6 linked regions of the Kluyveromyces lactis genome follow. The protein of the gene in region 1 interacts with the protein of each later gene in a pairwise test. Links are inferred from orthologs where the notes say so. Each region holds a gene or a part of one and is shown in the gene's direction. Other genes may lie near its edges.

The links.
Region 2: the proteins of BRR2 (region 1) and SNU114 interact in binary tests that used the Saccharomyces cerevisiae proteins (3 or more experiments, as listed by UniProt). The link is inferred for Kluyveromyces lactis from reciprocal best matches to the Saccharomyces cerevisiae genes BRR2 and SNU114.
Region 3: the proteins of BRR2 (region 1) and CDC25 interact in a two-hybrid assay, tested with the Saccharomyces cerevisiae proteins (2 studies listed by BioGRID). The link is inferred for Kluyveromyces lactis from reciprocal best matches to the Saccharomyces cerevisiae genes BRR2 and CDC25.
Region 4: the proteins of BRR2 (region 1) and SNP1 interact in a two-hybrid assay, tested with the Saccharomyces cerevisiae proteins (2 studies listed by BioGRID). The link is inferred for Kluyveromyces lactis from reciprocal best matches to the Saccharomyces cerevisiae genes BRR2 and SNP1.
Region 5: the proteins of BRR2 (region 1) and PRP2 interact in a two-hybrid assay, tested with the Saccharomyces cerevisiae proteins (2 studies listed by BioGRID). The link is inferred for Kluyveromyces lactis from reciprocal best matches to the Saccharomyces cerevisiae genes BRR2 and PRP2.
Region 6: the proteins of BRR2 (region 1) and PRP16 interact in a two-hybrid assay, tested with the Saccharomyces cerevisiae proteins (2 studies listed by BioGRID). The link is inferred for Kluyveromyces lactis from reciprocal best matches to the Saccharomyces cerevisiae genes BRR2 and PRP16.

The regions. Positions count from the first base shown.
Region 1 is NC_006039.1:1,579,252-1,583,401, reverse strand, and holds the end of BRR2 (ATP-dependent RNA helicase BRR2), read left to right. Parts: coding exon 1-3,650; downstream 3,651-4,150. Other genes in the region: TFIIH/NER complex ATP-dependent 5'-3' DNA helicase subunit RAD3, read right to left, coding at 3,743-4,150.
Region 2 is NC_006037.1:603,834-607,810, forward strand, and holds the start of SNU114 (U5 snRNP GTPase SNU114), read left to right. Parts: upstream 1-1,177; coding exon 1,178-3,977. Other genes in the region: TPO5 (Tpo5p), read right to left, coding at 1-1,018. UniProt on the Saccharomyces cerevisiae protein: Component of the U5 snRNP complex required for pre-mRNA splicing. Binds GTP.
Region 3 is NC_006040.1:782,602-786,651, forward strand, and holds the start of CDC25 (Ras family guanine nucleotide exchange factor CDC25), read left to right. Parts: upstream 1-1,250; coding exon 1,251-4,050. Other genes in the region: mRNA splicing protein SMD2, read left to right, coding at 255-587. UniProt on the Saccharomyces cerevisiae protein: Promotes the exchange of Ras-bound GDP by GTP. This protein positively controls the level of cellular cAMP at start, the stage at which the yeast cell division cycle is triggered.
Region 4 is NC_006039.1:703,699-706,337, reverse strand, and holds SNP1 (U1 snRNP complex subunit SNP1), read left to right. Parts: upstream 1-1,233; coding exon 1,234-2,139; downstream 2,140-2,639. Other genes in the region: CCR4-NOT core ubiquitin-protein ligase subunit MOT2, read left to right, coding at 1-822. UniProt on the Saccharomyces cerevisiae protein: Involved in nuclear mRNA splicing.
Region 5 is NC_006042.1:601,845-605,788, forward strand, and holds PRP2 (DEAH-box RNA-dependent ATPase PRP2), read left to right. Parts: upstream 1-1,144; coding exon 1,145-3,778; downstream 3,779-3,944. Other genes in the region: uridine kinase URK1, read right to left, coding at 1-886. UniProt on the Saccharomyces cerevisiae protein: Involved in pre-mRNA splicing. Is required together with ATP and at least one other factor, for the first cleavage-ligation reaction.
Region 6 is NC_006037.1:689,251-693,400, reverse strand, and holds the start of PRP16 (DEAH-box RNA helicase PRP16), read left to right. Parts: upstream 1-1,350; coding exon 1,351-4,150. Other genes in the region: MRPL20 (mitochondrial 54S ribosomal protein mL58), read right to left, coding at 202-795.

The DNA.
Region 1 (4,150 bases):
CCTATTTATCAGTACGGATGAAGCAATCACCTCATTTATACAACTTGCAAGGTTCTTCAGGAGACATGAGTGATGCTGAGCTCATAAGAGTCAACAGAAATATTGTGCATACGGCGTTGAATTTATTACAGAATAACGGTCTTGTAAACTATGACTCTCTTTCTAAGTCGGTACAACCAACTGAGCTAGGTAGAATATCCTCTCATTTCTACATAAGTTATTCGTCAATTGCAAAATACAACCGGGAGTTAACAATAAACAGCACTTTGATCGACATTCTGAGAATATTTGCTATGTCAGAAGAGTTTAAGAACATTACCGTAAGACAAGAAGAGAAAACTGAATTAGAGAAACTCGTCGAGCGTTGTCCAATTCCGATCAAGGAGAAGGCTACTGATTCATTAGCCAAGGCAAACATTCTACTTCAGGTGTACATTTCAAAATTACGATTGGAGGGGTTCGCTTTAAATGCGGATATGATTTACATTTCTCAGAGCGCAGGTAGACTTTTCAGAGCACTCTTCGAAATGTGCTTAAGAAAAGGATGGCCAAGACTAACCAAGCTTCTGCTTACCATCTGTAAATGCGTCGATAGCAGAATGTGGCCCACGAACTCACCATTTAGGCAATTCAAGAGATGCCCTCAAGAAATCATAAGACGAGCAGAAGCGTCTGGTTTACCCTGGAACGATTTCTTACTGTTGAAGAATGCTCATGAGGTAGGCGAAGCCTTAAGATCTCCAAAAAATGGTAAAGTTGCTTTCGATTTGCTTCAAAGATTCCCGAAGATTGGCATTCACTGCGCAATGCAGCCAGTTACAAATTCACTACTTCGTTTTGAGTTGGAACTCCAACCTACATGGATCTGGGATCTGGATTCCAGCAGCTATTCTGAAACATTCCTTGTTCTTGTCGAAGACACAGACGGTGAACAAACAATTTATCATGAGACATTGCATGTTGGGAGAAATGCAATAAACAGCATTGTGTATCTTGACTTTGTTGTATTTTTGAAGCAGAAAATGTTACCGCCGAACTATTTTGTATCCGTTATATCAGAAAAATGGCTAAACTGTGAGTACAAGATTCCTGTTATTTTGAGTGAAATAAAATTACCTAAACCATTCCCTCCTGCAATATCTGTTTCTGATTCAATTAAGAAAAGTACCAAGGAACTACAAATTGATGAATTTGAGGCGTTATACAATTTCCATTCTTTCAATAAAGTTCAAACTGAAGTTTTCGATACATTATACCATGAAACTGAAAACGCACTAATATGTGCAACAAAAGGTTCCGGTAAAACAATAATGGCAGAACTTTCATTATTGAACCATTGGAGAGAAGGCAGAGGACGTGCGATTTACATTTGTCCATTCAAAACCAAGATAACTGAACTTCTAAAGAATTGGAAAAAGCGATTCTCACATTTGGCTGGTGGAAAACTGATCAATGCTTTTTCTGGAAATTTGCAGCACGATCAAAAACAATTAGCCCAATCTCATCTAATATTAGCTACTCCGAATGAATTTGAATACCTGTCTCGTCGCTGGCCGGAAAGAAAAAACATTCAAAGAATAGAACTAATTATTTGTGATGACATCCATGAAATAGGCAACGAGATAATTGGACCGATGTATGAAATCATAATTACGAGAATGATTTTCATTGCAACACAATTGGAGAAGAATATAAGGATTGTGGGGCTTGGAACCCCACTTGCCAACGCAAAGGATTTCGGAGAATGGTTAGGTGCAAAAAAATCAAGTATTTTCAATTTTACTGCTTTAGAAAGGCAAACACCCTTGACAGTCGATATCGAAACTAGCATTTTAGTAAAAAGCCCTACTTCTAATCGAATGGCCCTAACTGAGATCGTTGAAAGTAGTAATCGTGTCGCCTCACCCGATGAAACTATAACAGTTTTCGTCACTGACAGATATGAATGCGTTTCTTTCGCGACAGAACTCGTTGGTCTCGCTGTTGCTAAAGGCATTGATCTTCTTAGAGCAGAGGAATCCAGTTTACACTCGTATCTCAACAAGGTCCAGGACAGCAACCTCAAGACACTGTTGCAAAGTGGTATAGGAATTCTATACCAAGGTATGCATTATTCCGATAGGAATGTAGTCCGTAAGCTCCATGAATACAAGGTGATATCGATTTTGGTTGCAAGTAGGGATTGTTGTTTTGATGCCCCTTCATCAAGTTTTGTCTTTGTTACTACAACTCAATATTTTGAAGGCAGGGAGAACAGATACATCGATTATCCTGTAAATACTATTCTTGAGATGATGGGAACAGCGTTTACGGCGTCAAATAAACAGCAAGCACATGCAAAACTAATCACCACAATGCAAAGGAAGGAATACTATAAAAAATTCCTTTGTGATGGGTTACCAACGGAGAGTTCTCTGCCATACCATGTTATTGATTTACTTACAACGGAGTTTGCAAACCAAACATTAGAAACCAAGCAAGACTGTATCGACCTTTTAACTTACACTTATCTATATCGTAGAATACATGCAAATCCAAGTTTCTACGGTATTCAAGATGTGACTGCAGACGAAATTTCCTCCTATTTAACAGAATTAGTAGAGGAAGCAGTAACAACCATGAAGGAAACCGAGCTTATATCAGTTGAAGGGGAAGCGAACGATTCCACAGAAATTGCAGAGGAGGTAATTTCCCCGAATAATGCCTGTCTTATTTCTGCTATCCATGCCGTAAGTTGTTTAACGATATGCAATTTTAGCCGAGCAGCATCAAGATCACTAAGAATGAGCGGTATTCTTGAAATTTTGTCTTCAAGTGAAGAGTTTAAGACATTGCCTCTTAGATTACATGATATAAAGCCATTAAGAAAATTATACGACATTTCACCTTTGAAGTTGTCCTCCGAATTCGATCCACGCTCCACAACAGCCAAGGTTTTTGTGTTATTGCAGGCCCATTTTTCAGGTCTTCATTTACCCATGGACTTATCACTTGATTTGTCTGAAATCCTTTCAAAAGCACCTAGCTTAGCAGGAACAATGGTAGATATATTGTCAATGAACGGTTATTTGAATGCCACTACTGCTATGGATTTAAGTCAAATGATTGTTCAAGGTGTGTGGGATACTGATTCACCTTTGAAACAAATTCCATTCTTTGATACAGACATCTTGGAGAAATGCAAAAACCATAATGTAGAAACAGTTTATGACGTGATGGCTTTAGAGGATGAAGAAAGAGAAGATATCATCACTTTACCGGAAAATAAGTTGAATAAAGTCGCAGAATTTGTCAACAGTTATCCAAACATTGAGTTGAAGTATGCTCTAGATATGTCAGCACCGATGAAACCTCACGACAAAAAAATGGTTACTGTAACAGTAAGTAGAGATGAAGAACCAGAAACACTAAATGTTAGCTCAAAGTCGTTGCCACATGAAAAAACTGAAGCATGGTGGATATTCATCGGTGAAAAGAGCTCCAGGCAGCTATATGCTATCAGGAAGATCGCGCTTACAAAAATGACCCAGGACTACGAATTGGAAATCGAATTGGAAGATCCTGGTGATCATGAACTAACAATATGGTGTGTATGTGATTCTTACTTGGATGCCGATAAGGAAGTAACATTTAATGTTAACATCGCATAGTAAATGCATAAATAAAAAGAAAGTACTGTATATATGCAGTGAATATAAATTAAAATAAAATTCTTTCTATAAGCAGAGTAGAATCCCTTTATCTAATCCTTCATTTCAATGTCCCCGTCATTATCCTTGACTTCTGTCACATCCGAATCAACAAACCCGTTATGTTGCTTTTTCTTAACACTTTCTTGGTGCGCCAGTAACTGTGCATGACTCCACACAGATACACCTTCTTGATCTTTTGGATCAGTTGGTTGTGCCATGGTTCGCAAAAATTGCTTAGTATTGGCGATAGCCATATCCGTGGACAAGTTCATGTCGGCATCAGATAAACCTTGTGCAATCCATTTTGGTAGTTGACTTTTCTTCCTTGCAAATCTACGGTCTGCCAACACCATTACACCGTAGTCATCTTTACCACGTAAAACTCTACCTAAGCATTGAGCTGCATGTCTCATTGCATCAAAAGATAAAAAGTCATTCTCTCGGATCTGGTAATTCTC
Region 2 (3,977 bases), on another chromosome or scaffold:
AGAAAAATAGTCCGGAAACTAGTGAGATTATCACAGAGCGTGTCATACTGTAAGGAATATCTTTCTCTGGTTTCTCAGTTTCGTCAGATAATGCCGATAACATCGCAAACCCTTGGAAAGTGAAATTAGATTGCTGAAACCCTCCAATTAAAAATGACAAGGCCATAGAACTATACCCCGACAAACTATTATCGAATTTGGTAAAGACATCCTTGAATGATCTATGGTTTGGTTGGAATAATAGGAGAAGTGTACTTGTGAATAATATCGCATATAAGATCCAGTAAACACAGACCTTATTGATAGTTTCAATGAAACTTGAAAATTTTAGATTAATGACTCCAACCACAGTCACAATGAGATAAAACATTAGCACAGTCCATAACGTCAACCACCGGGAGTCTATCAGAGATTCATTAGTCATTGTCAGCAAAGAAATAATCAATTGTGCACCCGCAAACGTAATACTAGTGCTCATCGTCCAACTTCCAAACAACATTAGCCAACCACAGTACCAAGACATACGCAACCGAAGTCTGCCAGGCGCAAGCATGGCCGCTGCACCGTGAAGTTCTATGGGGTACTTCGAGACTATCTCACTGAGCGACAGTGAACTAATCCACGTCATTATCCCACATATCAGATACCCAAATATTATCGATGGAGATCCACCATTTAGCAATCCAATACTCATAGTAGTGCTCATACCAAGTACGGGACTCATCAACCCAAACCCTAGACCAATAACAGAAGTCCGCGAAAGTAAATTCTTGTCAAGTTGCTGTACATATGTAAACTCTTTAACCTCATCGGGAATATCCTGGTCTTCCTCGTTCAATAAAGACAACAATCGCTCGGGAATGTGTATGTTCCCGTTAAGATTAGAAAGCCAGATGTATTCAGGCATTTCAAAATGCAGTTCGGCTCTGTGTGACCCCTTGGTAAGCTCACCCTTTTTATTTCCTAGAACCCTTTCGGCATCCGTCTTGGCAAAATGTCTGTCTTTTCGAGGGCTCATCGATATTTTCAGTTCTTAGACATTATGTAAATGTTGACGAAAGTCAAAGCTTCGAGTAATGAAGATAGAATGATAAGCACATGCATTGCTCTTAGGGAAGACTACTGCGATTTGGGTGACGTGACTCAGCACTGAGTACTTTTGGAAGGAAATACAATAATGGATGAAGATTTGTACGATGAGTTCGGTAATTTCATTGGGGATCCAATGCAATTAATCGATTCTGATGATGATAGTTTGGAAGAAGTAGGAGAGCAGGAAGCTCAACATGAATTACGGCAAAAGATAGTCGAGGCTGACTCTACCGATGTGGTACTTCGAGATGTGAACCGTGATTTCGATGATGATGTTGAAGTTTTGTTGGAAGTGGAAGATAGAGAACCTGAGAAACCATTGATTGGGGACGATTCGAAATCATATAGCGAAGCTGTTAACAGGAAAGTACCTAAAGCACTATTTGACAGAGGGTACTTGAAAAGCCTTTTCTCGATACCAGAACGTCAGTTAAATGTTGGAATTTTCGGGGCGCTACATTGTGGTAAGACTTCTTTCACGGATATGTTTGCGTTAGATACTCATCGCAATCTTCCGTCCTTGACAAAAAAAGTTAAGGAGGGATGGGTACCGTTTAGGTACCTCGACCAAGCGAGGATAGAAAAGGAACGTGGTATTTCGCTTAGATTGAATGGTATGTCGTTTGCATATGAATCGTCAAGAGGACGTACGTATGCAGTGACGATGTTGGACACACCTGGACATGTAAATTTTTGGGACGATGTCGGTATTGCTTTGACTGCTTGCCAATATGGTGTAATCATCGTTGATGTGATAGAAGGAATTACTTCTGTAGTTTCCAAACTGATAAGAGAATTGATAAGTAATGGGATCCCCTTTATCATCGTTCTTAACAAAATTGATAGATTAATTTTGGATTTGAGACTTCCTCCTACAGACGCATACAGCAAACTACAATATATCGTGAACGAAATAAACACATATACCAAAGAAAGATTCTCACCGGAGCTAGGTAATGTACTCTTTGCCAGTACCAAGTTTGGATTCTTATTCTCTGTGGAGTCTTTTGTGAACTCATTTTACGCTAAATCGTTAAAGGATAAGACAGAACAATTTGCTGCTCAACTTTGGGGTCAAATTAATTACAGAGAAGGAGCATTCTACCAAACAGAATTTATTACGGACAACATTGCATTCATTCAGTTTATTTTACAACCTTTATACAAGGTTTTCACTCATACATTATCTGCATCCGAGGAAGAACTAAGAACAGTCATCGAAACCAATTTTCAAATCAGGCTTTCAGATGAGATTCTATCAAAGGATCCTCAGCCGCTACTTTTTAGCGTGTTTCATGCTATACTACCGCACTATCACTGCTTCATCGATGCTATTGTTTCAACACAGGACCACAAAATCAACAACTTATCATCCGATGAAAGCACTGTTGTACATGTATTGAGACACATGAGCCTGGAAGGTTCCAAGTGGTCCCTTTGTCGGATAATAGAGGGCTCAGTGAAAAAAGGCAACAAACTCTATATTTTCAATGAGTCCGTAGACTCTGTAGTAGATTTTGGTGATGATGAATACTCCAAGGTTACTATTGAGCGTGTAGCCTTAATGGGAGGTAGGTATGTCTACGAACTCGAGGAAGCAATAAAAGGACAGATTGTACTTTTAAAAGGTTTTGAAGATCAGTATACGAAATATGCAACTTTGTCTTCGAGCTTGATGAACCCGCTAGCACCAATTAACTATCTCAACGAATCGGTGTTCAAATTCGCCATACAGCCTCAGAAACCAAGTGAACTACCGAGACTATTGAACGGTCTTCAACAAGCAAACGAATTGTACCCTGCATTAGTGGTTAGAGTTGAAGAAAGCGGCGAAAACATCATAATTGGAACAGGAGAACTTTACCTTGATTGCGTGATGGACGAATTACGGAAAAAATTCTGTGAAATTGAGATCAAAGTAAGCCAACCGCTTGTGCAATTCACGGAAAGTTGTCAGAACGAATCGTTCGCGTCAATTCCTGTAAAGTCAAACAACGGTGTAGTATCACTCAGCGTTATGGCCGAAAAATTAGATGGAAAGATAGTACACGATTTGACGCATGGTGAAATCGACAGTTCAGAATTGAATAACATGAGAAAGTTCTCCAAACGTCTAAGAACCGAGTATGGATGGGACTCATTGGCAGCTAGAAACTGCTGGGATTTATCAAAATGTAATGTATTCATTGACGATACTCTACCTGATGAAACGGATAAGCAACTACTCAAGAAATATAAAGAAAACATTTTACAAGGGTTTGAATGGGCTGTGAAAGAAGGACCATTGGCTGATGAAACAATCCATGCATGCCAATTTAAACTCTTGCAATTCAAGGTACAAGAAGACAGCATCGAAGATATCATCCCATCTCAACTAGTGCCAATGACGAGAAAGGCATGTTACATTGCGCTAATGTCTGCTACTCCAATTATCATGGAACCCATCTATGAAGTCGATATTATCGTATCGGGGGTATTGGAGTCTGTGATTCAGAATTTATTGAAGAGACGCAGAGGTGGAAGAATTTACAAGACAGAAAAGATAGTGGCATCACCATTCATAGAAATAAAGGCTCAATTACCTGTCATCGAGTCGATTGGATTTGAGACAGATCTTCGTGTTGCGACCGCCGGTAGCGGAATGTGTCAAATGCACTTTTGGAATAAAATATGGAGAAAAGTGCCAGGTGACGTACTTGACGAAGAAGCCTTCATACCGAAGTTGAAACCAGCGCCTGCTGCAAGCCTAAGCAGGGACTTTGTGATGAAGACAAGACGTCGCAAGGGTTTATCTGAAAGTGGTCACATGACTCAAGACGGGCCATCATTAAAGAAATACATTGATCAAGATCTATTCAAGAAGTTGCAACAAAAACGATTTGTAT
Region 3 (4,050 bases), on another chromosome or scaffold:
GTTGATATTTATATAGTGTAAGATTACCCGGATAATGATAATGATAATTGGATAATCCGAAAGAAAACAACTGGATGGTATATTGGGTTTGATGCACAGGATGAGATGATGAGATGACCAAAGAAGGAACCTCTCATATCATATGGCAATCAGGACAAGTTATCACAAACTTACGAGATTGCAAATATCATAAGCCAAGGACTTATCTTCAGGATTTGTCTGTTACATATACTAGAAAATTGACCTAAAACACGATGGCCGATACATATATTCCAAAGACAGACCTTTCAAGGTCTGAACTATCTAGAGACGAGCTAACACAACTAGAAGAATTCGAAATGAAATATGGACCCATGTCTCTAATCAGGGAATCAATGCTACAGAGGACACCTGTTATAATATCACTAAGGAACAATCATAAACTCATAGCTCGTGTGAAATCTTTTGACAAGCACTGTAACATGGTTCTGGAAAACGTTAAAGAAATATGGACAGAGAATGTAAATGGTAAGAAGGTTAACAGAGAGCGATTCGTAGCGAAACTCTTTCTTAGAGGGGACTCAGTGATTATAGTGGTAAAGACATGAACCTGTTTTTATCATCCCATCAACATCCTTTCTGAAGTCACGTGTACTGATATGTTCGCTGCCACTGAAAGCATCAAGTAAAAGGGTTATAGAGCTAATAATCTGATCAAATATCAGGACAAAGATGCATTAATCTTCTGTGAAGCCTTTACCGCATTGAACCAATGTAACTTTCTGATCTGTGCCCGGATTCTCCCTAGTTTTTATATGTCGAATTCCAAACGGCGCATACTCAAAATACGTAATTCAAGCTCAAAAGAACCGTTTAATCCTCTATAGAACTAGATATCAATACATAATACGGCTCAAACCATACAACCCAATACATCCCTTATTTTACAGCTAAGGGGTTGCCTTACCAAATTCAGTATACTGCTAATCACTATTTTTGCCGTTTTAACGTAACGAATACTCAGTTTGGATATTTCACGAATGATATTTCTTCATATTTTTTTTTTTTTTTTTTATTTTTCACTTTCATGAACTCTTTTAAAAAACTAGTCAAATCGCTCTTTTATATCACAGGGATAAGTCAAAGCGCAAAACCTAACTGAAATACATCAAAACAATCACAGGACAACGTTAGGTACTATTGTCAAAGAGTTATATATTAAAAAGAGGCGTGTGAAGTGTGCTTTTATTCTATAGCTTTCACAACTGACAATGGAAAGGCCACAGGACGAGGGAATGAATCCTCCAAAAGCTGGATTGTCTACAATTATAAAACCTTTGGACATAGTGATAGCGCAGTATGACTTTAATCCGCTAAGGAAATCTCAATTACGGTTTTTTGCCGGTGATATTATCTACGTTATATCGAAGAGTGACTCAGGTTGGTGGGACGGTATTTTATATTATAATAAGAGCTTGGTTTTGAGGGGCTGGTTCCCCAGAAGTTATACTAAATCAATAAAGGATACCAGTTCAAGTCGGAAGATATTTCCTCTGAATTACCATGGCAGCAATGCTTTTAATAATAGGCCTAGTAGCCATGGGTCACGGAGGAACAGTTTGAGGATAGGCAGCCCATCTGGGAATATGAATATTCGTTCTACGTCTGGGTCAAGAAGGGGATCTTTGGTGAGTACCGGGAACTTTAGAAGGAAAAGTCTTGGTACGACTACTTTCCACGATAATCATGATAATGCAATAAATAGTGGGCAAACGCTACTGTCGACGTCTCCTTCAAATTCTGCAAGTAGTGTCAATAATTCTAGCCCGTCATCGCATTTGAAACAGGATTACCAATTCGATATGAATCGCAGATCCTTCTCTCACTCAAGGAGCAAACCAAATGCAACCTCCAAATCAAGAAGTGCATCAACTAGCAGTTCTCGAAACTCTTACTGTCGTTCATCTGAATCTTTATCCAAAGCGCGGTCTCATTCAGAATCCCGTAACTCAGATCATTCATACAGTAAACATTCTGTATCGTCAATACGGTCCCCACATACTCTTCATGAGTCAGAAATCAACATTCTTTCTACTAAAGAAGTTGAAATGCTCTTAAATAACATGTCAAGACAAGAGGTTGTGCCGGTATGGACCCCGGTTTTGACTACAAGCAATAATTTATTATACTTCAATAAAGAAATGAACATTTATTGTACATCTTTACCTATATCAAGGACACCTGAACTAAGCTTAAAATCTGTTTTCCCGCCTAATGAAAACCTGGTCGACTTACAAGCAAGAAGCCTAGAATCAGACTTTTTGCCTAATACTCAAGTGATGGATCTGGAATCTGTCATTTCTTCTCAGCACCGTAACTTACATGATGCGAGTCCCATTAATCCAATGGTTGTCATCAGTGGAAACTCTTCTCAAAAGCAACCAAATACACCATCTGGTCCAAAACCAGACCTAAGTCAACCCTGTCCATCTCCAGGTCGATCACCCAGTATGCATTCAAATCCTACGCAATCCAATGAAAAAAATGAAGAAGCAGGTCCGAAAAACTCACAGCCACTTGCTCCTAAACCATTACCGCAATCGAATAGTAGAATGTTTTATTCATTAAGTTCTGACATGAAAACGTGGACGGAGTTAAAAAACTCCACTATCTATTATTTGAAAGCTTCACATAACCATTTCTTCAAACAAAACCAACCATCATTTTATCAGAACTTTTCGAAAGCGTCAACTTACATCTTTTACCATCAGTTGGCCTGTAACTTAGCGAGAAAAGAACTTATCAAAAGGAATGTTGTAAAGGATATTAGGAAAATTTTGAGAAAGTTGATTAAGGTCGTCTTCAGAATCAACGTAAATGCTTCAGTATATTTCAATTCTAGTAGCAAAATCGTTATGAACTCCTCCGACATCAAGAAATTCAATGGAGACATGCTGACTTCGAACCGCGATACTTTGAATAATGGCACAAGAACTTCTGAAGCCTTTGTCTTACCTAACAATATTGAGTTTCCTGATTTAAGAAATGTTAGTACTAGTACCACAACTTCTTTTAATCCTAACGCAAGCTTAGATAGCTCACATCAAGGAACTATGACGTCAGAAACTATTCAGATCAGCCCAGATTCCCCAAGAGCGTCAATTCCAACTAATACAACTCAAACATCGAATATGCTCATCGACGAGGAGACAGGTATTGTTTTGAATTCTCTCTTTAATGTGATACACACTGACTTCACAAATATTTTCAAACTTGTCAACAACCTTCACAACATTATCATTGATTCTGTTTCACCGGATGATGCATTAGTTCAGATATACCCAAGATTTATAAGAAACTCCTTTGAGGGTATAGTGTGGACCAAATCAGATCCTTCATTTGCTTCCAAATCTGAAGATTCGAGTGATATTTCCAACAAATCGGACCAGGGGAATGCGAGCTCCTCATTTTTTCCAGAGTCTCTTTCGAGTCTTATGTTTTCAGGAAGGCAGTACAGTAGTTCAAGTTCTAGAACTGTCAACTCCAATTTAGAAAAGCAAAACTCTTCGGGATCAATAGGAAAAATACACAACAAATTACGTGCACGGTCAAAAGGTTCTAAACCTGCCAGGTACCCCTTAAATCATACGACTTTAAATCTTCTTAGGGACAAGCTATCCCTGATCAGCAATATCTACAAGACGGACAATTCAGCGATTTTAAGTTCAGTTGACGGCGGAAAATTAGTCGAACTCAGTATGGGAACATATAATGGTTTGAAAGAATCCGCTGCTTTTCTCAATATAATTGATAAGTTGGACCTACAATTTTTCTTTAACTTGAAACGTTGCCATTCTAATGAAAACCTCGAAAAAGAATTTCACGAGTTCAGTGAATCATCCATGACTAACGCAGTTCCTATTCTCCTAGAATATTATGATCTAAAGCAGGCGTTGCATGACATTACAATTCGTTATGTCATGGACACTCAAAATCTTTCACTCAGAGATCCATTTGTCTTCTGCTCAATGCGAGGAGAGCTTTCTCAGTTCTCAAAAGGTAGTCATGCAG
Region 4 (2,639 bases), about 880 kb from region 1:
TTGAGAACAGATGACTCTACTGTGCCAGCAGCTGCAACTTCAAGCTCGAAGCAAACCGCTCCTGTGCTAACACCAGCTCCAGTTCCATCTGGTTCAAACCCATGGGGTATATCTCAAGCACCCACACCAGTTTCTACTATTTTCAACAAGACTTCTACTTCTACCACTTTCCCTACGTTGTCAAGCTCCTTGGGGGAAACTCTGAACAGTCCAGGTCCAGGCACTCCTACGACCACTGGATCTGCCCCAACAGCAAACTCTTCTTCTAACGTAAGTTCGAAGAAGAAGGGCGAAAAGACATACGAGGATCCTTACGATCCAATGGCAACATGTGTTAAGTTCCTAGATCAAACTTTTAAGTTTTTATCAGATATTCCTGAAAGAAGCTACACATTCAACTCCAACTTATTGGATGACGAAACATATCAAAGTTACCCATCACTTTTTTCATTTGAGAAGATTGGATGTAGTGAGCAATCTGAAGGTGTCTTGGGTGCCAAACTATGTGATTTGCTTACTATAAAACCTGTGGACCACATGTCCTCTCTTCTGCCATTCATTCAAAACAAGGCTACACCTACCATGTTACCACCGGGAATTGCTGTCCAGCAACCACAATTAGTACAACAGCAGAAGCAGCAGCTACAGCAACAGCAATTACAGCAACAGCAACAACAGCTTTCACTGCAAATGCAACTACAAGCCCAACAAGGCATGGCGCAGCAAGGCATGGCGCAGCAAGTTATGAGCCAGCCACAAAGCAATTCTTCCGATCTACTAAATCAATTAATTCACGGTAAGAAACAGACTGCTGCCGTATAATCAGTACTCAGTATGATTCCAATAATATTTCTTTTACGAAGTTAGCATATAAATAAATATATATATTCATGTACATTCATTTATTTTTCAATATAAACCGTTCCAGGTTGTTAGATAAACAACTGTTTCAATTTCATTTTTCCAAATCAGACCTTGTAATCTACTGTCTTTCTGGGTTCTTCTTTCTGTCAAAGGCATTCACATTAAAATACATATTTTGACACACTCTTTTTAAGGTTTTTCCATCAATTATGTGAAAATTGTAACATTTAACATCTAAATAGTAAAGATGCGCCAAAAATATGGAATATAATTACATACACTTTACCTCAGCGCATACACCTTAACCTCGATACTGCGGTAAGCGCATCAATAAAGATAATATTGGCACATATCCATTCCAATTAATAGATGAAACCACAAACGAGGAAATACAACAGGCATAATGGCTTTCACACTTTGACCAAACTTCCGTCTTCAGTATCAAAGTTATTTACACAAGGTCCACCATTACCACCATCGAGAGTGAGAGTAAGGCGAAACCAGAACAAGAAATATGCACTCACTGGTGTATCAGCCGTGTTGCAACATGTTTCAGAGTATAAGAAGGCAACCCATCCCGTATCAGAGAACCAACACTTGAAAGTATATGATGAAGCCATGAACGAATCGCACAAAGAACAGGAGGAGTTGATGAAGAAAATACAAGAGTGGCACCCTGAATCAGATGCAAACATTTCTAGTGACCCCTACCGCACATTATTTGTCGGACGGTTACACTATGCCGTAGACGAAGTTGAACTACAGAAGAGTTTCGTCAAATACGGCGACATTGAATCGTGCAGAATAGTAAGAGACCAAGACGGTAAGAGCCGAGGATACGGTTTTGTGCAGTTTACCAGTTATGAAGACTCCAAACAGTGTTTCAGAGAGCTTGGTGTAAGGAAGGGAATAGAAATCATGGGCCGAACATCCATCGTTGATATAGAAAGAGGCAGAACGGTGAAATTCTTCAAACCTCGACGTCTAGGTGGAGGATTAGGAGGACGAGGTTACCAAAGGAAAGATCTCGTAAATAAATTAACTGGTGCTTCAACAAGACCGATGCATGAACATGCTAGAAGACCCATCAGAAGACACGATACCTTCGAAAGAAGAGGTCCTCCACAAGGGCATTCCCATTCTTATCAACCAACTAGTCCAATATCCTCACCTGCATCAAATTTCCAAAAAACTGCAAGTTCTAGCTACCGATCAAGGAGGGACAGATCTCGCAATGATACTTCCAATGGTTCTACAGACACATTGATGTATTGAGATGAGATAAAAAGACACATCAAATAGCACGTGATCAGAACTGCTGCAGTGATCTATATACATTTTCATATATATTCATATAAGTAGCCATACAGATGAGCCATGGCTAAATGTTATATGTACTTCCTACCATTTCTACCTCTGTTCTCATATCTACGCAGTTCTCCTACATTGTGCCCACTGGCCAAGCATAACTGAACCACTACCTCTGTATGCATGAGTAATTTCTTGATCGATGACTGATTCCAAAATAACGATGGAAAAAATTATTCCAGTCAAACAAAAAAAAAAAAAAAAATGGCAACTCAGCGAATCGCACATATAAAGAAAACCGTTTTCAGTTTCCCATTCGCTAAGTATTTCCATTAGGTATCTAAAGTATGAGTTAACTCGTAAAGTACTGAACAGCATTATTGTCTAATCGAAGTTAAGACCAGCTCTATCCATCTGCAGGACAAATTAAAGGGTTTGCAGGAAAGTGTTGATACCTGCCTTTTCAG
Region 5 (3,944 bases), on another chromosome or scaffold:
TAGTCGTTTTCAATTTCGTAGGTATATCGTCCAATGCAAAGGATAAAAGTATTGTTGCTAACCTGTCAAAATAGAATACCCAGTCATCTCTTGAAACGCTTTTGTCTAACAATATAGTCTGTAGAGCCTTCACCTGATTAGTTTGTCTCAACTTATGAATTATATTTAAAGAATCAATCGACACAGCGTATGACTCGAGCTTTTGAAGTTCTGCTAAATGCTGCTGCGATTTGAGCTGCAATTTAGACTGAATGTGATTAAGTAACATCTCAGTCGCAATGCTGTTATCTGACATGGATGGGATGATTGCATCTGCTGCCTTCATGGTTGGTTTCACGAACCTATCCGCATTTGGTTTAACAAACTTCTCCCATTGTCTTATGCAACCATGCAAGTCTCTCCCACGAGAGATGATATCCCTTGTCAATCTTCTAGCTAAACATATATCTAAATCTGCATCCACGTAAACCTTCAAATCCATTAAATCAAGAAGTCTTTGGTCATATAATGCGTAAATTCCTTCAATAACAATAACACTCGCACCATAGATGGTTAAAAACTTATTTGGAATTCTATCATGATCTGTGAACGAATAGGTTGGGATTTTCACCTTCTTACCTTCTTTCAAAGACAGGATACATTGATAAGCTAGATCCAAATCTATTGAATCCGGTTTATCGAAATCGTAGTTATTTTCGAAAGCCTGCTTTCGTTCTTCGACGGTTAACGGTTTATAGAAATTGTCCAACGATATTAATACTGTCCATGGAGTGTTGATTCTTGTCACGAGTTTGGTAGCAACACTCGTCTTTCCAGAACCTGAACTCCCTCCAATACCAATAACATACGGTGTTGTCCAAGGTGGTATATAGCCAGAAGAGTTCATTCTGGACGCCTTGCAAGCGTTTTATGAACACTAAATGTCCTATGCCTGGAACTGTCTATGTCTGTTTTCTGATTCAGATAATGTTTATCTGGAAGGTTTCTATCAGTCATTTGGCATAGTTTTCAACATTTGATATTGCAAGAAAGCCACTCGATGTACCTTTCACGATTAGAAACTAAAGGTGAGGGAAGAAGAAGAAATAAGCGCTACGAAATCAGGTAGAACGCTCTCGCAGCATACCGAATCGCAGTTCATACTATGGGAACCTCAGGTGATGAAAATGGTACTAAACTTACGGGATCAGGACAGCGCAGAGCGAAGAGAACTTATGAAAGCATAGAATCGGTAAATGCAAATACTAACTCATTCTCACCTGCAGATCAAGTTTTGGACAGTAGCCCGGACCCTTCATTGAAGGATGGTAAGGCTCATTATTCGGTTAACTCGATTAAGTCAATGGTTGAGCAAAAAGTTTTGACTAAGAGACAGCGTTCTCAGTTGCACTGGCTGGTTAAAGATCTTCAGATTTTAGAAGATGACATAAAACGTTATGGTTGGAATAACTTAACTGTTAGTGAACGAGAAGAGATATCGCTGAAAAGAGAGCTATTGAAGCTCTTAAATGAAACTGGAAAAGACTATGCTGAAAATGGAGATACAAGTGGATTCAAAATGCAAGATGAGGTCGCATCAAAGAAACAACTATTGACCGCCAAACTTCGAAACAAAACCGATAGGGTGAACTGGGAAGAGGAGCAAATGAAGAAAAGTGTAATTAAGGCAGATGCAGATGAAATCAAAGTTAAGGATTCAGATAATTACGAATTTGTTTTTGATCCTGAGTCCATGATTGATTTTACTGATGATACGACAGATATTTTAGAACCTGTTGAAGACGGTAGATTGGCTGAAGCGTTAGAAGAACAAATTAACAAGATGAAGAGTATTAAAGAAACGAGGAAGTCATTGCCAGTTTATCAATATAGACAAGAAATTTTGGATAGTATTCGGCAACATCAAATTTTGATTGTTGTTGGTGAAACGGGGTCTGGGAAAACCACCCAACTTCCACAGTTCCTTGTGGAGGATGGTTACACCAACGATGGAAAATGCGTGGTTTGCACACAACCACGTAGAGTTGCTGCAACTAGTATTGCTTCAAGAGTTGCTGATGAAATGGATGTAATATTGGGGAAAGAAGTCGGTTATAATATCAGATTTGATGACCGAACAACGCCTGATAAAACAATCTTAAAATATACGACAGATGGGATGTTACTTCGAGAATTTCTTAATGACCCACAACTATCATCGTATAGTGCAATAATGATTGACGAGGCTCACGAGCGCACGTTATCTACAGATATTTTGTTGGGGTTGCTAAGGGGTATTTTACAAGACAGAAAAGATCTTCGACTTATAATTTCTAGTGCAACTATGAATGCTACTAAATTCTCCAAGTTCTTCTTTGATTGTCCGATATTTAATGTTCCTGGTAGACGCTTTCCTGTGGATATTCACTATACACTTCAACCAGAAGGAAACTATATAAATGCTGCGATCACCACCATCTTTCAAATTCATACCACCCAAAAATTACCAGGTGATATTTTGGTATTTCTAACTGGTCAAGAGGAAATAGAATCGATGCAAACAAAATTACTTGAGATTCTTTCCAAGCTTGATAATACAAAATTTCCAGATCTCTTGGTAGTACCTATATATGCCAATCTTCCTCAAGAACAACAATCCAAAATTTTTGAACCTACACCGAAGAACTGCAGAAAAGTAGTGCTTGCGACAAATATTGCAGAGACATCGTTAACAATTGACGGCATAAAGTTCGTGGTAGATCCAGGTTTTGTGAAGGAACAATCCTATTCAGGAGGAGTTTCAAAGCTAGTGACAGTTCCATGTTCTAGGGCATCTGTTGACCAGAGAGCAGGGAGAGCAGGGAGATTGGGTCCAGGCAAATGTTTTAGATTATTTACAAAATGGTCTTACTACAATGAGCTTGAAAAAGTACCAAAGCCAGAGATTTTGAGAACAAAATTGAATCAAGTGGTTCTACTTTTGCTTTCACTAGGTATCAACGACTTACTTCACTTTCCAATGTTGGACAAACCAAAAACTATCCAGCTAAGCGAAGCCCTCGAAAATTTGTATGCCATTGGCGCTCTCAATAGCAGAGGTGCAATCACAAAAGTAGGACAAGTTATGTGTGATTTCCCATGTGATCCTGAATATGCCAAGGTAATATATTCTAGCGTGTTTGAAGAAAGCTGTAATGGTGTTCTACCTGAAATTGTTACGATTGTCTCTATGCTTCAAGAGAGCAACTCTATATTTGTACCGGGACTCAATTCGGAAGAAAAGACAAAACTTTTTGGGTCATTGATGCAGTCAAGTGACCACATGCTATACTTGTGGATATATGAACAATGGGAAGAGAATGGATACTCACGAAGATGGTGTCAAGATTTCAAGTTGCAACATAAAACAATGAAACGAGTATTGAGGATACGACAACAATTATGGAAATATTGTAGGAAACAAGATTTTCTGCTTAAGCATGACCAAAACCTTACTCAACTCAAAGAAAACATGCCTCGTTCCGTCATTGAAGCAAAAATCATTAAATGCTTTATATCAGGATTTCCAACAAATATAGCAAAGCTCTCTAAACAAGGCTATACTAACATAAAGCAAGATTTATCCGTCAGCGTTCACCCATCTAGTGTTATTTTCAACCGAATGAAACAAGAAGGAAAACCAATGAAATACATCCTCTATCAATCTTTGATGCTTACAAGTAAAGAATTCATTAGAGATTGTATAACATTTGATAAATACGAATGGCTCACTGAAACTATGCCACATATTTATAAATGAATCTTTGTATCCCCAGTTAATTGAGGAGTAACATATGCAACATTTTCTAAGAAGCTTTTCAGAACATCACGCCAAATTGTTGGCGAGTCCACCTATGTTCTGAAAAACCAATTGTAGAATAATCGAAATCAAATCAGTTATTTTTCTAATTACTTCTAATGTTCAA
Region 6 (4,150 bases), on another chromosome or scaffold:
CCTAACGATAATGACCCCAGCTGTAACTTATTGAGATAGACACTAATTTTTGCACGTCTTCCATTGTATTATATTACATGCATATATATAGATGTTATAAGCCATTTAATAGAGTTGATGACTAACGATTGAAACATAAGGTCGATGGTTATCTTATTACTATTTACAGATATACAGTATGTTGTTTTCTTTTACCTTTTCTCATGCTCTGTACCAGAGTTCCTTTCTCTTTTTTCTTTCGGCTCTGGCCAATGCTCTCTTAGGATGCCATTGGCTCTTTATCGTCTCAAGAACTTGATTCATTTCTGTCTTTCTTTCCTTGGGTGGTTCAGAAACAATAGAGATGAACAACGGAGAACAGTTGAACTTCTTTGCTAAAGCTTTTCTAGAGTTTTTCACCGGGTCCTCCAGTCTTAGTCTTCTAATCTCAGCGATGTCTTCAGGCTTCAAATGGTAGGTCTTCTCACCCTTCTCATGTAACACTGGCGCTACCCTCGATATCTCTGCGTTACCTTGCGTTAGGTCATCTATAATGTCGTGCCTTGGATCAGTGGCCGGTAAGAAAGATTTTGGAATCGTTTCTGAGTTAGTAGAACCATGGATAGAGGATGGAGCTGGATCGTAATATAGACCTGCTGGAATCTTGGCTTTCAAATAACCTTTGTAATTGGAGGCAGATGATTTTGGATTGTAAATGGTAGCTGGTCCAACGATCTTAGGTAACTTACCTGATTTATCAATTATCTTTGAAAGATCCTTGGCCGCACGGGCGCTGGTCGAAAATAGTCTCACCATACTGTAGCGAATATGTCAAATGTAATTTCTACAGCGTAATTGGGGATTATAAGCCTGGTGTAAGGGTCTAAAACTTGTTATTTAAACTATCAATCACCATGTTTCGCACTGCAGACTCTAAATCTTTCAGTTTGATGCTTTCAAATTTTTCAGATAGAAATCCTGATGAGACAGACAGGATTAGTATGGGAAAACAGTTTATTTCGAGAAATATAGGATTATTCTAGTGGATATACCTACCTGAAGATGCTTCTATATAATATCGATTAGTACTATGAATGAGTGTGAGCTGACCTGTTAAAATAGGGCTTATATTGGCGATATTATGCAGCTTTTAGAAGTGCCAATTTGGACTATTCTGTATCTTTTGTCACGTGAAAGCCGGGTAATCCCAACATCAACATCAAATGTCGTTCCTATTCACAACAGGAAGAGCTGAAAGGCTATGAGATGGGACAAGAATAATGGCATAAACAGTCCTTGTGATACTTCATTAGCAGCTCTGTCTCATCAGGTTTTACGCCAGGTGGTAGGTTTACCAAGCAACAGAATTAGATGAATGCAGAACTTCAAGAATGGATTCAACAGAATACGGAATCAAGAGTGACAGAGAAGTTTGTTGAGACTTTAAGGCAGATTGCACGTATTCATAAGGATGTAAACAAGTTCATCGGGGGTGCTAAGGCTTTGGGGAAATTTAAGGGCAAAGATGAGTTTTTGAAGCAACTTTTTGAAAAATTACAGGCACATAAGCAGTCTCCAAAGCCAGAATCAGCGGCTGTTCCAGCAAGAACCATAAGGAAAAAATTTGTGGTTAAACTTCCGTTGGATGACAAGGAAGACGACGATGAAGATGAGCTTTCTACTGTGAAGGTACAAGTGAAACCAAAATTCAACAAGCCTTTGACTTTGAAACGTATTACGAAGCAAACTGCAGCAAAATTGAATGAGTTTTCAGAAAACACTGAACCAGTGGTCATGGTAAAAAAAGAAGAAGCGACCAAAGGCACACTTATCGATGCAGAAGGTAGTGATGTGGAAGATATAAAGGACGCCAAGGATTTTACTGCACAAGATAGAAATTGGTACGATAATGATGATGATTTTGATAACGTCATTCACGATGATGAATATATACCAGCTCAGCAAGATCCGTACGAAGGCGGCGACAGAGAGCTTGACTTGAATGAACCTGAAATCCAATTAACTTCCTTATCGTTGAATGAGCGTAAAACCATTATTCCTCCGTTTTTACTTGATTTCCATGACCAGTCAGGAGAGCTTGCGATAGTGGGTGCTTTGGATATGTCTTCAAATGCAAATAAGGGAATAGCAGATCCGATAAGAAACCCTGAGAGCGACTTTTCTATTAATGCAAGGAGAGGCAGCAAGCTTGTAGCGATGAGGAGGATTCATAGAGATAGAAAATCTAAATCTCAGAACGCTACCGAGCTAAAAGGTAGCGCCTTAGGTAAAGTTCTAGGAGTAAAACAAGATAGTTCAACTGACGCGCAAACTAAGCAACCTAATCAGCCCATTGCTATAAAAGAAAAAGAGCAGAGCTTTGAAGAAATACAAGCAGTGAGAAGGTCTTTACCCGCTTATAAAGTACGACACGACTTAATGCGCCATATTAGAGATAACCAGATTACTGTGGTTATTGGTGAAACGGGTTCAGGTAAAACAACACAATTAGCACAATTCCTCTACGAAGACGGTTTCACTGCAAATGGTAGAATGATTGGATGTACACAGCCAAGAAGAGTAGCAGCTGTATCGGTTGCTGAAAGAGTTTCCAAAGAAATGGATACCCCAATTGGTGTTAAAGTTGGATACTCAATCAGATTCGAAGATCAGACTTCGGATTCAACAAAAATCAAGTTTATGACCGACGGTATACTCCTTAGGGAGGCAATGATAGATCCGTTGCTTGAGAAATATTCATGTATTATAATGGACGAAGCTCATGAACGATCTTTGAACACCGATGTGCTCCTAGGGATCTTCAAAACATTATTAGCTCGAAGACACGATTTAAAACTTGTCGTGACATCGGCAACAATGAATGCAGATAAGTTCTCCCAATTCTTTGGTAATGCGCCACAATATTTCATACCGGGAAAAACTTTCCCCGTCGAAATCATTTACACTAACCATCCAGTACCTGATTACGTTGAATCTGCTGTTCAAAAAGCTTTAGATATACATTTATCTACACCAATTTCAAATGGAGATATCTTGATATTTATGACTGGTCAAGAAGATATTGAAGCAACTTGTTCTACCATCATCGAACGCTTAACTGAGATCTATACTAAAAAATACGGGGCAAATTATGAGGAGCAATTAGCGGATGTTCAAGTTCTTCCAATTTACTCGTCGTTACCTGCAGATGTACAAGGAAGGATATTTCAAAGACAAGAACAAAACGTTAGAAAGATTGTTGTTGCCACAAATATTGCTGAAACATCATTGACAGTTGACGGTATTAAATATGTCATAGATTGTGGGTACTCCAAATTGAAGGTGTATAATCCGAAAATCGGCCTTGATAGTTTGCGAATCACACCCATCTCACTTGCAAATGCTAATCAACGGTCAGGAAGGGCTGGTCGTACGGGCCCTGGTATCGCATATAGACTTTTCACTCATGATTCAGCGATGGAAGATATGTATCCTCAGGCCATCCCAGAAATTCAAAGGACAAATTTGGCAAATACACTCTTGCAGTTGAAATCGTTGAATATCAACAACTTATCGAAATTCCCTTTCATTGATCCACCGCCATCGCAGAATCTAATGACATCGTTGTACGATCTTTGGGCCTTAGAAGCTTTGGACAACTTCGGTCATCTAACTAAATTAGGCAGACTGATGGGTGCCTTCCCTTTACAGCCCTTTCTTTCCAGGGTACTAATAAGTGCATCACAATATGGCTGTACCGAAGAGATGTTAACGATTGTATCTATGCTTTCGGTTCCGTCTGTCTTCTATAGGCCGAAGGAACGTGAAGAAGAATCTGACCAAGCCAGAAGCCGGTTTTTCATCCCTGAATCAGATCATTTGACCCTACTTAACGTGTATGCTCAATGGAAAGCCAACAGATATTCTGCCCATTGGTGTAATTCACGCTTCTTACAATTCAGATCTCTCCAAAGAGCTAAAGACATTCGAGAACAGTTACTCTATGTGATAAGAAAATTGAATTTACCGATGGCTTCTTCTGGGTCAGACTGGGCTCCAATAAGAAAATGTCTATGCACCGGTTACATCCAACAGACTGCCAAACTATCAGGGTTAGGCAAATATGTTCATTTAAAAACAGGGATGGATCTCAAAGTACATCCAACAAGTG